Stegostoma tigrinum: one gene and its partner. The protein of the gene in region 2 purifies or fractionates together with the protein of the main gene of each other region. This does not show direct contact. Links are inferred from orthologs where the notes say so. Each region holds a gene or a part of one and is shown on either strand. Other genes may lie near its edges.

Region 1 (7,803 bases), on a different chromosome or scaffold from region 2:
AAGAGCAACTATCGAACATATGTGGATCATTTCGCAATTGGTTAGCACTGCCTCACAGTGCCAGGGTCCCAGGTTCAATTACACCCTTGAGCAACTGTCTATGTGGAGTTTGCACATACTCCCCATATCTGTGTGTTTCCTCCCATAGCCCAAAGATGTGCAGGTTAGATGGATTAACCAGACTAAACACCCCATAGTGACCAGGGATGTGAGCAGAGATCATGGGAACTGCAGATGCTGGAGAATCCAAGATACCAAAGTGTGGAGCTGGATGAACACAGCAGGCCAAGCAGCATCTCAGGAGCACAAAAGCTGACATTTTGGGCCTAGACCCTTTTATTTCAGAACCCTCTCCCCATCCCCCTCTCTGATGAAGGGTCTAGGCCCGAAACGTCAGCTTTTGGGCTCCTGAGATGCTGCTTGGCCTGCTGTGTTCATCCAGCTACATACTTTGGTATCCAGGGATGTGCAAGCTAGTTGGATTAACCATGGGAAATGTGGAGTTATGGAGTCAGGGTAGGCGGTCAGTCTGGGTGGGATGCTCTTCTCAGAGGGGTGGTGGTGATTTGATGGGCTGAATAGCCTGATTCCACACTGTATGGATTCAGCAATTCTATGTGACGAATAATTAAGCAGTTCAGTTGAAGAGTGAGGGAAGTAGGATCGCCAGTCCAAGTAAGAGGGGAAAAAAATGTCTGACACTTGCAAGTTCACACTAGAGAACTGAAAAGTGTCCAAGAGTAGCACGTTATTCCCTAACACAAACAAATTTGCTGCAGAAGCTCAGCAAGTCTGGCAGCATCAGGGAAGGTAAAATCAGAGTTAACACTTTGGGTCCGGTGATCCTTCCTCAGAACTGACAGTGGCGAGAAAATATCAGTTTTTATGCAGAAAATAGGAAGGTGGGTGGGGTAGGGGGCAAACGATAGGATAGAGCACAAAAGAGAGAAAAAAATTGTTAGACAGATAAAGGAGTTACTAACGATCAAGCTGGGAGGGTGAATAGTTGTTAATGGGGACTGTTAGTGACTAACTACAGAGGGTGTGTAATGGCAGGCTATGTGGTAACAAGGACAGGTGTGTGGGGTGGGGGGCTGGGACATGGGAGAGTTTAGGCCCTAAAATTATTGAACTCAATATTGAGTCTGGAGGGCTCTGGGTCCCCAAGCAGAAAATGAGATGTTGTTCCTCCAACTTGCATTGGGCTTCGTTGGAACACTGCAGCAAGCGAGAGACAGAGATGTTAGCCAGGGAGCAGGGTGGTGCGTTGAAGTGGCAGGCAACAAGTAGCTCAGAGTCTTTCTTGCGAGCAGAACATAGATGTTCTGCGAAACAGTTGCCAAGTGTACGCTTCTTTCCCCAATGTAGAGGAAGCTACATTCAATAATTTTATGGCCTAAACCCTCCCATGTCCCACCTGCCTACCCCACACACCAGGCCTTGTTACCACAAAGCCTGCCATTACATACCCACTGTTGTTAGTCATTAACAGTCCCCATTAACAACTATTCACCCTCCCAGCCTGATCATTGGTAATTCCTTTGTCTGTTCCACTGTCTCTCTCTCTTTGGGCTCTATCCCATCGTTTACTCCCTAACCCACCCACCTCACTATTTTCTGCAGATAAACTGACGTTTTCCCATCTACCAACAGTTGAGAGGAAGGTCATCAGTCCTGAAACATTAACTTTTCTTTTGCCTTCCCAGATGCTGCCAGACCTGCTGAGCTTCTCCAGCAACTTTGTTTTTGTTCTGATTCACAGCATCTGCAGTTCTTTTGGTTTTTACATCATTCCGTAAGTTTTGCTGACAACGTTGTATGGCATGGAGATGTTTATTTCTTTATTGTAAAATAATTGTTTCTCTAGTCAAGACAGCACTTTAACCTGCACAGTCATCCAACCATGTATCATCAGCCCCTTCTCTACACAGTCTTCGGTGCCAGCTTTTCAGCCTTATCGCCTAGAGACTAATGGTCAGTCTCCAAATGTACTCTCATGACACCCAGCTCTACTTTTATCAAACCTCTGACCAGGCCTTTGTTGTCTGCATACATTTTCCTCCAATTGAACACTGGTGGAAAGCAGAAAACACAATTTTCAGTCCCTCAACAAAATCCACAGCCCCAAAGGCATCATCCTCCTACTGCACCGCTGATTTCTATGAAGTCAGAAGTTGCAAATAAAAAGGCACCATTCAATAAAGTGTTTCAGAGAGAGTAAGAACTGTAGATGCTGGAGAATCTGAGATAACAAGGTGTAGAGCTGGACGAACACAGCAGGCCAAGCAGATCAGAGGCACAGGAAAGCTGACGTTTCGGGCCTAGAACCCCCTTTCTTCAGAAATTAAGTACTTGGCTTCAGCCATCAACATCTTGGACATCACCAGGACGAACTTCTTCAACTTAACAACACAGTCTGCTCCAGCACTCAGTCAAAAAGGAAGCAAAAATGCAAAAAGAGAACTGCAGATACTGGAAATCTGAACCAAAAACCGAAAATTTGGAGAAACTCAGCTGATCCGGCAGCATCTTCAGAGCTGGGGGCACTTACATTACACTATAGAACCAAAGGCTACCTGTCACAACGCCCAACTTGATGGTTTACACGTCTCCTTTCGCTCAAACTCCTCCAGACTTACAATCTCCCACATCTGGCAGTGGTTTGATGTGATGATTTGGGCTCGATGTGCATCTTTCCATAGTCCAATCCCAGTCGGCCACCTTAGCCCTACTTCGGAGAACTCTGCCCACTGCCTCTACCTCCATTGCTCCCCCTTTGGGAAACAGCTGTCTGCTCTGTCCCTTTTGACCTCCATCTGCCCAAGACCGGTTTACAGCGAGGTCACTTGAAAAATCCATGTATAATTCTGCTGCAAAACAGACACACAATTCCGGTAGAGTGTTCGATAAGGCAATACCTGAACAGGATTAAAATAAGATACGAACTGACCTCCGCGGCACACGCTGCCATAAAATGTGGAAAGCTCCTGAGCTTTTCCCGAGTGCGGCTCCAAACCTCCGTCCGCGGCATCGCCCTGGGCGCGGCCATCTTGACTCCGTGACGTGATTCCGCCGACCGCCGCCCCCGAATGGACGCACGAGGTCGGCGAAGCGGCTATCCATTGGACAGCGGCGGTTGTCCGTCAAAGGAGGCGGGACGATGGCAACAATCGGGGAGAAAGTGGGCTTCATGCAGCGGGTGAGCGGAGAACGTAGGGGGGGGGGTTAGAATGGTGGAGGTGGAGAGAGGGAGGGAGGGAGGTAGGTAGGTTAGTTAGTTAGTTAGAGTGGTGGGTGAGGGAGGGGGGGTTAGAGTGGTTGGTGGGTGGGTGAGGGAGGGGGATCAGAGTGGTGGGTGGGTGAGGGAGGGGGATCAGAGTGGTGGGTGGGGGAGGGAGGGGGATCAGAGTGGTGGGTGGGTGGGTGGGGGAGGGAGGGAGGGAGGGGGATCAGAGTGGTGGGTGGGTGGGTGGGTGGGGGAGGGAGGGAGATCAGAGTGGTTGGTGGGTGGGTGGGGAGGGAGATCAGAGTGGTGGGTGGGGGGGGAGGGAGATCAGAGTGGTGGGTGGGGGGGGAGGGGGATCAGAGTGGTGGGTGGGGGGGAGGGGGATCAGAGTGGTGGGTGGGGGGGAGGGAGGGAGAACAGAGTGGTGGGTGGGGGGGGAGGGAGGGAGGGGGAACAGAGTGGTGGGTGGGGGGGGAGGGAGGGAGGGGGAACAGAGTGGTGGGTGGGTGGGGGGGGAGGGAGGGAGGGGGAACAGAGTGGTGGGTGGGTGGGGGGGGGAGGGAGGGAGGGGGAACAGAGTGGTGGGTGGGGGGGTGGGGGGGGAGGGTGGGGGAACAGAGTGGTGGGTGGGGGGGTGGGGGGGTGGGGGGGGAGGGTGGGGGAACAGAGTGGTGGGTGGGGGGGTGGGGGGGGAGGGTGGGGGAACAGAGTGGTGGGTGGGGGGGTGGGGGGGGAGGGTGGGGGGGAGGGTGGGAGGGAGAACAGAGTGGTGGGTGGGGGGGGAGGGTGGGGGGGAGGGTGGGAGGGAGAACAGAGTGGTGGGTGGGGGGGTGGGGGGGGAGGGGGGGGGGAGGGTGGGGGGGTGGGGGGGGAGGGGGGGGGGGAGGGTGGGGGGGAGGGTGGGGGGGAGGGTGGGAGGGAGAACAGAGTGGTGGGTGGGGGGGTGGGGGGGTGGGGGGGGAGGGAGGGAGGGAGGGAGAACAGAGTGGTGGGTGGGGGGGGGGAGGGAGGGAGGGAGGGGGAGGGAGGGAGGGAGGGAGGGGGAGGGAGGGAGGGAGGGGGATCAGAGTGGTGGGTGGGGGGGGGAGGGAGGGAGGGAGGGGGATCAGAGTGGTGGGTGGGGGGGGGAGGGAGGGAGGGAGGGGGATCAGAGTGGTGGGTGGGGGGGGGAGGGAGGGAGGGAGGGGGATCAGAGTGGTGGGTGGGGGGGGAGGGAGGGAGGGAGGGGGATCAGAGTGGTGGGTGGGGGGGGGAGGGAGGGAGGGAGGGAGGGGGATCAGAGTGGTGGGTGGGGGGGGGAGGGAGGGAGGGAGGGGGATCAGAGTGGTGGGTGGGGGGGGGAGGGAGGGAGGGAGGGGGATCAGAGTGGTGGGTGGGGGGGGGGAGGGAGGGAGGGAGGGGGATCAGAGTGGTGGGTGGGGGGGGGAGGGAGGGAGGGAGGGGGATCAGAGTGGTGGGTGGGGGGGGAGGGAGGGAGGGAGGGGGATCAGAGTGGTGGGTGGGGGGGGGGAGGGAGGGAGGGAGGGGGATCAGAGTGGTGGGTGGGGGGGGGAGGGAGGGAGGGAGGGGGATCAGAGTGGTGGGTGGGGGGGGGAGGGAGGGAGGGAGGGGGATCAGAGTGGTGGGTGGGGGGGGGAGGGAGGGAGGGAGGGGGATCAGAGTGGTGGGTGGGGGGGGGGAGGGAGGGAGGGAGGGGGATCAGAGTGGTGGGTGGGTGGGTGGGGGGGGAGGGAGGGAGGGGGATCAGAGTGGTGGGGGGGGAGGGGGATCAGAGTGGTGGGGGGGAGGGAGGGAGGGGGATCAGAGTGGTGGGTGGGTGGGGGGGGAGGGAGGGAGGGGGATCAGAGTGGTGGGTGGGTGGGGGGGGAGGGAGGGAGGGGGATCAGAGTGGTGGGTGGGTGGGGGGGAGGGAGGGAGGGGGATCAGAGTGGTGGGTGGGTGGGGGGGGAGGGAGGGAGGGGGATCAGAGTGGTGGGTGGGTGGGGGGGAGGGAGGGAGGGGGATCAGAGTGGTGGGTGGGTGGGTGGGTGGGAGGGAGGGGGATCAGAGTGGTGGGTGGGGGGGGAGGGAGGGAGGGAGGGGGATCAGAGTGGCGGGTGGGGGGGGAGGGACGGGGATCAGAGTGGTGGGTGGGTGGGTGGGGGGATCAGAGTGGCGGGTGGGGGGGGAGGGAGGGAGGGGGATCAGAGGGGCGGGTGGGGGGGGAGGGAGGGGGATCAGAGGGGCGGGTGGGGGGGGAGGGAGGGGGATCAGAGTGGTGGGTGGGTGGGGGGGGAGGGAGGGGGATCAGAGGGGTGGGTGGGGGGGGAGGGAGGGGGATCAGAGTGGTGGGTGGGGGGGGAGGGAGGGGGATCAGAGTGGTGGGTGGGGGGGGAGGGAGGGAGGGGGATCAGAGTGGTGGGTGGGTGGGTGGGGGGATCAGAGTGGTGGGTGGGGGGGGAGGGACGGGGATCAGAGTGGTTGGTGGGTGGGTGGGTGGGGGGATCAGAGTGGCGGGTGGGGGGGAGGGAGGGGGATCAGAGTGGTGGGTGGGTGGGGGGGGAGGGAGGGGGATCAGAGGGGTGGGGGGGGAGGGAGGGGGATCAGAGGGGTGGGTGGGGGGGGAGGGAGGGGGATCAGAGGGGTGGGTGGGGGGGGAGGGAGGGGGATCAGAGTGGTGGGTGGGTGGGGGGATCAGAGTGGTGGGTGGGGGGGGGAGGGAGGGGGGTTACAGTGGTGGGTGGGTGAGGGAGGGAGGGAGGGGGGTTACAGTGGTGGGTGGGTGAGGGTGGGAGGGGGGTTAGAGTGGTGGGTGGGTGTGGGAGGGAGGGGGGTTACAGTGGTGGGTGAGGGAGGGAGGGGGGTTACAGTGGTGGGTGGGTGAGGGAGGGGGGTTAGAGTGGTGGGTGGGTGAGGGAGGGAGGGGGGTTACAGTGGTGGGTGGGTGAGGGTGGGAGGGGGGTTAGAGTGGTGGGTGGGTGGGTGAGGGAGGGAGGGGGGGTTACAGTGGTGGGTGGGTGAGGGAGGGAGGGAGGGGTGTTAGAGTGGTGGGTGAGGGAGGGAGGGAGGGAGGGAGGGGGGTTAGAGTGGTGGGTGGGTGGGTGGGTGAGGGAGGGGACTTACAGTGGGGGGTGGGTGAGGGAGGGGGTTAGAGTGGTGGGTGAGGGAGGGAGGGAGGGGGGTTAGAGTGGTGGGTGAAGGAGGGAGGGAGGGGGGTTACAGTGGTGGGTGAGGGAGGGAGGGTGGGGTGTTAGAGTGGTGGTTGAGGGAGGGGGATTACAGTGGTGGGTGAGGGAGGGAGGGGGGTTAGGGTGGTGGGCGGGGGGGAGGGGGGGTTAGAGTGGTGGGCAAGGGCGGGAGGGAGGGGGGTTAGAGTGGTGGGCAAGGGCGGGAGGGAGGGGGGTTAGAGTGGTGGGCGGGTGAGGGAGGGAGGGGGATTACAGTGGTGGGTGAGGGAAGGAGGGGGGTTAGGGTGGTGGGCGGGGGGGAGGGGGGGTTAGAGTGGTGGGCAAGGGCGGGAGGGAGGGGAGTTAGAGCGGTGGGCGAGGGGGGAGGGAGTGAGGAGGGGGGGTTAGACCGGTGGGCGAGGGGGGTTAGAGCGGTGGGCGAGGGGGGTAGGGAGGGGTGTTAGAGCGGTGGGCAAGGTGGGGTGGGAGGGGGTTAGAGCGGTGGGCGAGGGAGGGAGGGAGGGGTGTTACAGTGGTGGGTGAGGGAGGGAGGGGGGTTACAGTGGTGTGTGGGTGAGGGAGGGAGGGGGGTGACTGTGGTGGGTGAGGGAGGGAGGGAGGGGGTTTAGAGTGCTGGGCGAAGGGGGGAGGGAGGCAGGGGGGTTAGAGTGGTGGGCGAGGGGGGAGGGAGGCAGGGGGGTTAGAGTGGTGGGCGAGGGGGGATGGAGGCAGGGGGGTTAGAGTGGTGGGCGAGGGGGGAGGGAGGCAGGGGGGTTAGAGTGGTGGGCGAGGGGGGATGGAGGCAGGGGGGTTAGAGTGGTGGGCGAGGGGGGAGGGAGGCAGGGGGGTTAGAGTGGTGGGCGAGGGGGGATGGAGGCAGGGGGGTTAGAGTGGTGGGCGAGGGGGAGGGAGGGGGGTTAGAGCGGTGGACGAGGGCAGGAGGGAGGGGTGTTAGAGCGGTGGGCAAGGGGGGGAGGGAGGGAGGGAAGGGGGTTAGAGCGGTGGGCGAGGGAGGGAGGGAGGGGGGGTAGAGCGGTGGGCGAGGGGGGAGGGGGGTTAGAGCGGTGGGTGAGGGGGGGAGGGAGGGAGGGAGCGGGGTTAGAGCGGTGGGCGAGGTGGGGAGGGAGGGAGGGAGGGGGGTTAGAGTGGTGGGTGAGGTGGGGAGGGAGGGAGGGAGGGGTGTTAGAGCGGTGGGCAAGGCGGGGAGGGAGGGCGGTTAGAGCGGTGGGCGAGGTGGGTAGAGAGGGGTGTTAGAGCGGTGGGCAAGGTGGGGTGGGAGGGGGTTAGAGCGGTGGGCGAGGGAGGGAGGGAGGGAGGGGTGTTACAGTGGTGGGTGAGGGAGGGAGGGGGGTTACAGTGGTGTGTGGGTGAGGGAGGGAGAGGGGTGACTGTGGTGGGTGAGGGAGGGAGGGAGGGGGTTTAGAGTGCTGG
Region 2 (7,670 bases):
CCACCATCTGAGGTAATGTTACCTTGTTTAGATTTTCTGCTATATAGCCTTTTCCGCACCCAATGTCCAATGCAAGGGGAAAGGTTCTAAAGCAAAACAAAGTGAAATCACACACAGATAAAATTTCCAGCATTCTTTTGCAGAACATTGTGCTAGCATTTAAACTGGAAGAGAGAGAATGATTAAAAGGTTGAATACACTGCAGATAAAGGAAATACTAAACGAGTCCTTACAGAAGAGATAACACAATGGTCTCAAACTTACCTTACAATATCAAAAACACGGTCCACAACTCTGCTTCCAACCTGCACAATTGCAAAATTATTGTGATCTAGAGGACATAAAAAGATATCTCATGACTGCAACTTAAATATAAAGAAACAGTTTGCTTTGTAATCGATCAGCCATGATCTGACTGAATGGCAGAACAAGACTTGAGGTGCCAAATGGCCTGTTCCTCTCTTATTGGCTTTATACAATGAATCCCACCCCCACTTCACCCCTTCCAGGTTTTTGTGAAATGGGTAGATGCGAGTCCGTCCATCTCCGCCAGATGCGAACTCAGCTGATGATGTCTCAAAATTAGAAACGTTGAGATCAGGTATGTCCCAACAGAATATTTTATATCTGCTTCTACAGTGCAGGAAGTGGGGGTTAAGGCTAGATCTGGTGGAGCAAACTCAATGGGTCAAGTATCCCTACTCCTAACAGAATGTTACTTTCAGTTATGATCAGAACAGCATCAAAACTATAGTCATATTTTAAAACAGAACAACCCAAGGGTATCAGAGAGTAAAGCAGCTTGTATTTACATAATGCCTTTAACAGAATGAAGTATCACATGAGCATTAAGACAAAATATGACACCGAGCTACATAAGGATTTACTCAAAAGGCAGACTATTGTTTAAATTGAGCAGAGAAGCTCTCAAAGAGCACAGAGGCACGTAGTTGTTCTTTTGAACATAACAAAAAGTTATCTTGCAGGTACAGCAAGTATTTAAGGCGGCAAATGGAATTCTGGTCTTCAATGTGAGGGGATTGAGTTTAAAACAATCAGGAAGTTTTGTTGTAACTGTACAGGGTGTTAGTGAGGCTATATCTGCAGTACTGTGTACAGTTTTGATCCTTGCATTTAAAAACTGATGTTTTGACATTGGAGGAGTTCGAAAGAGATTCACTAGACAAGGATAAAAGGGCTGACTTATTGAAAATGGCTCAACAGGTTGGGCCTTTATTCAGTACAGTTTACAAGAATGAGGGGTGATCTCAGTGAAACATACAAGATTTTGAGGGGCTTGACAGGTAGGTGCTGGGATGAATTTCCACTAGTGGGGAAATCTCAAGTTACAGGATATAATTAAAGAATAACAGTACACCCATTTAAATTGAGATGGGAAGGAACTTCTCCTAGACAGTAGTTAATATCTGGAATTCTCTACCCGAGAGTTGAAGTAGATCACAGAAAGTATTTAAAGAGGAGATAGATAGATTTAAAAAAAAAACAGAGGGGTAGAGGGCTATGAGAAAGAGGATTTGAAGCCTAGGGCAGATCAGTCACGATTTTGTAGACTGGTGGGGCAGGCTTTAATGGACTACTGTTGCTCCTACTGCTTATGATTTTTCAGATGATGTGACCTAAACCTGGGCCAAAGAGGCATGCTTTAATAAGTGCCTTACAAGGAGAGCGCTACAGAATGAATTCCAGAGCTTAGGGACCAGACAGCTGAAGGCATACCCACTTAATAGTGAAGTGTCTGAAATCAGGGATGCTCAAAGGGCTGAGAGGGACACAGGGGGTTTGGATCCAGAAGAGGTTCCACAGATACGGAAGATCAAGGGTATGGACGGATTTGAGGACATTTTAAAAATTGAGGCCAGTGCTTGATTGGGAGTCAATGAAGGCAGCAACGATGGCTCAGTGGTTAGCACTGTTGCCTCACAGCACCAGGGAACCGGGTTCAATTCCACGCTCAGGTGACCGTCTGTGTAGGGTTTGCACATTCTCCTTGTGTCTGTGTGGGTTTCCTTCAGGTGCTCCGGTTTCCTCCCAGAGTCCAAAAAGGTAGAGGTTAGGTGGATTGCCCACGCTAAATTGCCCTCAGTGTCCAGGCATGTGTAGATTAGGATGTATATCAGGCACAGGAAATGCAGGGTTACAAGGAAAGGGCAGGGATTTGGCCTGGGCAGAATGCTCCTCAGAGGGTCAGTATGAACCCATTGGGCCGACGGGCCTGTTCCCACACTGTAGGGATTCTATGAGGTTTAATAGCGTGCTGAAAGGCAAACAGGACTTGATTTAAGGGCATATGATTCCAGATGTTTAGCAGTGAGATTGACCCAAGTCTTTTAACTAGCCTTTGAAATGGCTGAGTGAGACACTGAAGGGCAGTTCGGTACGAACTATAATTACTGATCTTATCTGTAAAGTCTGCATGCCACGACTGAACGAGGAGTTGAGATACAAATCTGTCCCGATCCCAGTGAATGCCAGAAACATGTCGGAGGGGCTAAATGGCCTCATTTGTAATGAGTGCATAACTTACACCAAGCAACAAGCTATCAGCCTGCGCTACTGGTTTTAAATGCCTTCATATCGTTATTAAACGTGGTGAACTCTCAATGTGCTAACCTCCTCCTTCAGATAATCATATCTCTCGCTCCCGGGGATGGAGGACGCCCAGTTTTTCTGCCGCCGCTTCATCTTTCTGTCAAACACGTTCATCGGGCTCTCCGATCTCGATGACCAGCGCCGCCACCCGAGGTGGGCGATGCTCCCGGAGCCCGGAGGGCAGCCGAGGCTGGAGAGAGAGAGGAGGCGCCGGAGTCGGCACGGAATCCCGCTCATCTTCCCGGGGCCCCTAGCGAAGGGGGAAAGGCCGCGGAACGCGCTCCATTGACGGTTCCCTTCTTCCTTTCGTCCCTTTCTCTCCCACTCCCCGAGGGCTCCAACCGACTAGAAGGAGCCCAAGCCGCCGGAACTACCACAGAGCGCATGCGCCAGTCGGCTCCGACCGAACCATTCGGCCCGGGTAGGATGGGGGGGGGCGTTATGTGGAGAAGTCGTCGGCGCCCGATGATGTCGAGCGGAGCTGAAAATTGTGCCCCCCCCCCACTCTCCTTCCGCTACCATTCAACGGGGAGCCCGCGAGCTTGACCACGCCCCCAGGTGGAGGTGAAGGGTCACGGGGCACTGGCCAAGGGGACGCACGCGGATCGGAGGTGGGTACACGCGCTCTGCCAGCTGGTTACCTGTTGCTTGGCCAAGCGGTAGTGTCAGCTAGCGAGTTTTGAGAAGATTTGTAGCTCAGGTTGAGGTTCTGAATGTAAGGATACGAGTGATAGTGTAAGGATACAACATAACCCACTATCACTCGTATCCTTACATACAGATGAGGAAGGACACCACTTTGATTGGGACAACACATCCATCCTAGGACAAGCCAAACAGAGACACGCACAAGAATTCCTAGAAGCATGGCATTCCAACCGGAACTCCATCAACAAACACGATTTGGAGCCAATCTACCATCCCCTGAGAAAAAGAACCGGAAATGGCATCACCAATGCAGGAAATGACATCAACACAGGAAATGACATCACCAACCCAAGGAAACCTAACCAGATAAATAGAAAGCAGGACATAACACCAGCGCTTCGTCGGAGGCTCACTGATGTTACCTAGAATGGTGACAAAACGTCTGAAAACTAACCTTCCAGCTCAGCGAGCAAACTCACATCCGGTAGTGTCGGCATCTGGTGAGCCCGTGGTGGTGGGTTCGAACACCCCCTCTCCCCGAGGCTGTCCGGGGTCGTTTGGGGAAATGTGATTAAATCTGGTGCTGCCAGATTGCTATCCCGGTCTGAACCGAAGGTTCACCCTCCAGGGCCCGCACAATTAACTGTAAGAGTGAACGTGTAAGTGGTGGGGTCTATTTAAAGGGCATTTGGACAGCTACATAGATATGAAAGAATTAGAGGGATAGAGGCCAAACACCGGTTAAAGGGGACTGGTTTCGCTTAGGAGACATGGTTGGCATAGGCGAGTTGGGCCAAAGGGCTTGGCTGCAGAGATCTCAGGAGGTGATGTGAGTGATATTTGAAAACAAAAGTGAGAAAGTTGTTTGAGATAGTACTTGCTGCCTCAGCTGAGGGTTGTCAGACCAGTCATGATTCATTGAATGGTTGAGCAGACTTTGATGGGTTGCATTAGATTCCCTGCAGTGTGGAAGCAGGCCGTTCGCCCCAACAAGTCCACACCGCCCCTTGGAGCATCCCCCCTATAACCCACACACCCCTGAATACTACGGGCAATTTAGCATAGCTGATCCACCTAGCCTGCACATCTTTGGACTGTGGGAGGAAACCGGAGCACCCGGAGGAAACCCGCGCGGACACGGGGAGAATGTGCAAACTCTGCACAGACAGTTACCCAAGGCTGGAATCGAACCCGGGTCCCTTGCACTGTGAGGCTGCAGTGCTAACCACTGAGCCACTGTGCCGCCCTGCTAGTTTCTGCTACTTCACCTTATGGTACTCTAGTTTAGCCCCCAGCCTGATGCGGCAAAGCCAGTGTTGTGCTCTGCAAAATAGAAGAACTGGCTGTGGATATGATGATGTTGAAGATTCGAACAGACATTTACTCTAACTATCATAGGGTCATACAGCACGGAAGCAGATTCTTCAATCCGACTCGTCCCTCCCGACCAGATATCCCAATCTGACCTCGTCCCATTTGTCAGCATTTGGCCATATCCCTCTCAAGCCGCCTTATTATGTACACATCCAGATGCCTTTTAAATGTTGTAATTGTATCAGCTTCCATCACTTCCACGGGCAGCTCATTCCATACACGCACCATCTTCTGTGTGAAAAAGTTATCCCTCTGGTCCCTTTACAATATTTCCCTTCATAAACCCATACCCTCTAGGGTAAAATATAAAGACTTTGGCTATTTACCTAATCCATGCCCCTCTTGATGTAATAAACCTCAATAATGTCACCCCCTCAGCCACTGACACTCTGGGGGGAAAAGCCCCAGCCTACCTCGCCTCTCCCTGTAACTCAAACACTATGTATAAACATTACATTCACGCCTAAGTATGCAAATTAAGCTATTAATTGTAACATTAGACAAGTTTGCAGAAGAATCTCATGCTTCAAGTGACCCGGGGGTAAGATGGAGTATAAGATTTTTTTACTCTCAGGTTACGTGTGAAAATGATGGTGTAACTGAAAGTGTCACCTTCAGACATAAAACAACAATATGGACATGGGAGTAGAATTTTGAATGATCTTAATTTTAGACATTAATACGAAGGTTGAAGTGGGTGGTGTTAGACTGGAAGAATTTGTAAATTGTTTTGAATGAATAATAACAAGATAGCAGATGCAATTCAGAAATTAGAAAAGGGTAGAGATAGTCAAGGATAAGGTTGTAGACATGCTCACTGAGCTGGTGGGTTTGGTTGCAAACGTTTCTTCACCCTGCTAGGTAACATCGTCGGTGTGCCTCTGGTGAAGCATCGGTGTTCTGTCCTGCTTGTTATTTATCTCCCTCAGTTTGCTGGGATGGTTGGTTTTGTTTCCAGTTCTGTTTCTCAGTAGTTTGTACACAGGACCTAAATCAGTGTGCTTGTTGGTGGAGTTCCGGTTGGAATACCAGGCCTTCAGGAATTCCCTGGCGTGTCTCTGTTTGGCTTGTGTGATTATCGCTGTGTTGTCCCAGTTGAATTTGTGTCCCTCGTCTGTGTGTAGTGAGGCAAATGAGAATTGGTCATGTCTCTTGGTGGCTAGTTGGTGTGTGTATATTCCTTATTGTCAGTTTTCTTTCGGCTTGGCCTAAGTAGTGTTTCTCACAGTCCTTACATGCTATTTTGTATAGTACAGCAGGCCTGGTGGCATCTGTGAAAGGAAAAAACAGAGTTAACTTCTCTGGTCCAGTGACTCTTCCTCGGACCTGAAACGTTAACTCTGTTTTTTTCGTTCACGGATGCTGCCAGACCTGCTGGGCTTTCCCAACAATTTTGTTTTTGTTCCTGATTTACAGCAGCCGCAGTTCTTTTGGTTTTTACTTTGTATAGTACGTTGGTTTTGCTGGTTTTGGGTATGGGATCCATTAAGTTCGTCAGTAGCTGTCGTAGGGTGGTTGTCAGTTTGGGCTGCCGTGATTCGTCGGGGTCTAAGAACTCTGCTGGTCATCTCTGAAATGTCCTTGATGTGTGGTAGGGTGATTTGAGAGTCTGGCCGTGTTGTGTCTTCCTGTTCTGGTCTGTCTCGGAGGTAGTAGCAGATTGTGCTTTTTGAGTATCCATTCCTTTTGAAGGCTCCGTATGGGTGTTCCTGTTCTGCTTTGCATATTTCCAGGTTGCTGTGTCGTGGCTCGTTTACATAGTGTCGTGATGCCACTCTGTTTGTGGGTGTTGGGGTGGTTGCTCGTGTAGTTGAGTATCTGGTCTGTATGTGTGGTCTTTCCATATACAATAGTCTAGAGTTCCTTGCTGTTTTTGCATTCTACTATTATGTCCAGGAAGGGTAGTCCATTGTTGTTGTCATTGTCTTTTGTGAATTTTATCCCGATGAGGATGTTGTTTATGTGTCAGTGGTTTCTTCTAGTTTTGTGCATTTGATAATCATGAAGGTATCATCTACATATCGGTCCCAAAGTTTGATTGTATAATGGTGCTGTCCATTTTAATCTTTGCATTACTGCTTCTGCAATCAGTCCTGATATTGAGGATCCCATTGGTGTTCCGTTTTTTTCTTTGTATGTGCTGTCGTTGAAGGTGATGTAGATCGTGAGGTGCAGATCTAGTAGTTTCATGGTGGTGTCCTTTTTGATGTTGGTGGTGTCCTGGGTTGTCTGCTTACTTGATTTGTTCAGCAGTGTGGCAGCTGATTCTTTGGCTAGATTGATGTTTATGGATGTAAATGGTGCTGTTACGTTGAAGGATATCATCACCCAGTCCTCTTCTATCCGGGTGTCCTTCACGTTGTTGAGGAATTCTTTGAGCCTTTGAAATGTGGGTGCTGAGGTGTTTGTTAAAAATACCCTGTACTGACCGTCAGATAAATGAAGAGGCACTTGGAACTGCAAGAGCTAAAGGAACTCTTTTAAAAAAAATTGACATGAGGTAAATATTGGCATTTTGGTGCCTTAATCTGAACTGAGAAGCTACCAAGCTTGCTCCTCAAGGGCAGCAGAAAGACGCATAAGCCAAGGCATAGTTAGAAGATGGATGGCGTAGATCAATTGCAGGTGTGTGAAGCTGGAGTTGGAAGGAGGATCATAACGTGCCATTGATAGCAGGCCTGGTAGGAGCAGCTACTTAGAAGAGCTGGAAGGTTGGTTAGGTGTGCATTGGGAACAGTTAGGCCCGGAGGTAGGGAGAGCATAGGTGAGGATATGCTAAGGCAGGAGTGGATGATGGAAATGGTCAATTCCTGCATCTCATAAGGGTCATGAGAGCAATAGTTAATATAAAATAAGCAGAACATGATTTGACAAGGCAATCCCAAATTTTACACTGGAGAATTAACGGAATAGTTTGTTCTGTAACAGAGAAACCATCAAATGTTGTTCCAGCTCCAATTATAGCCAATGACCAACAGTACAAAAAAACAATCAATACCAAAAACATTAGCAAATTTTCAGCAGGTCAGGTAACATCA

What was found.
Region 1: the proteins of ndufaf5 (region 2) and ndufaf8 purify together in Homo sapiens (affinity purification with mass spectrometry; 3 studies listed by BioGRID and IntAct, counting the BioPlex papers as one, with this or other methods). This does not show direct contact. The link is inferred for Stegostoma tigrinum from reciprocal best matches to the Homo sapiens genes NDUFAF5 and NDUFAF8.

What each region holds. Positions count from the first base shown.
Region 1 is NC_081375.1:24,522,796-24,530,598, forward strand, and holds the start of ndufaf8 (NADH dehydrogenase [ubiquinone] 1 alpha subcomplex assembly factor 8), read right to left. Parts: upstream 3,077-7,803; 5' UTR 3,050-3,076; coding exon 2,951-3,049; intron 1-2,950. Other genes in the region: AP-4 complex accessory subunit Tepsin, read left to right, coding at 3,161-3,199. UniProt on the Homo sapiens protein: Involved in the assembly of mitochondrial NADH:ubiquinone oxidoreductase complex (complex I, MT-ND1). Required to stabilize NDUFAF5.
Region 2 is NC_081362.1:6,034,077-6,041,746, forward strand, and holds the start of ndufaf5 (arginine-hydroxylase NDUFAF5, mitochondrial), read right to left. Parts: upstream 3,079-7,670; 5' UTR 2,848-3,078; coding exon 2,632-2,847; intron 306-2,631; coding exon 265-305; intron 87-264; coding exon 23-86; intron 1-22. Other genes in the region: ESF1 homolog, read left to right, coding at 7,020-7,132. UniProt on the Homo sapiens protein: Arginine hydroxylase that mediates hydroxylation of 'Arg-111' of NDUFS7 and is involved in the assembly of mitochondrial NADH:ubiquinone oxidoreductase complex (complex I, MT-ND1) at early stages. May also have methyltransferase activity.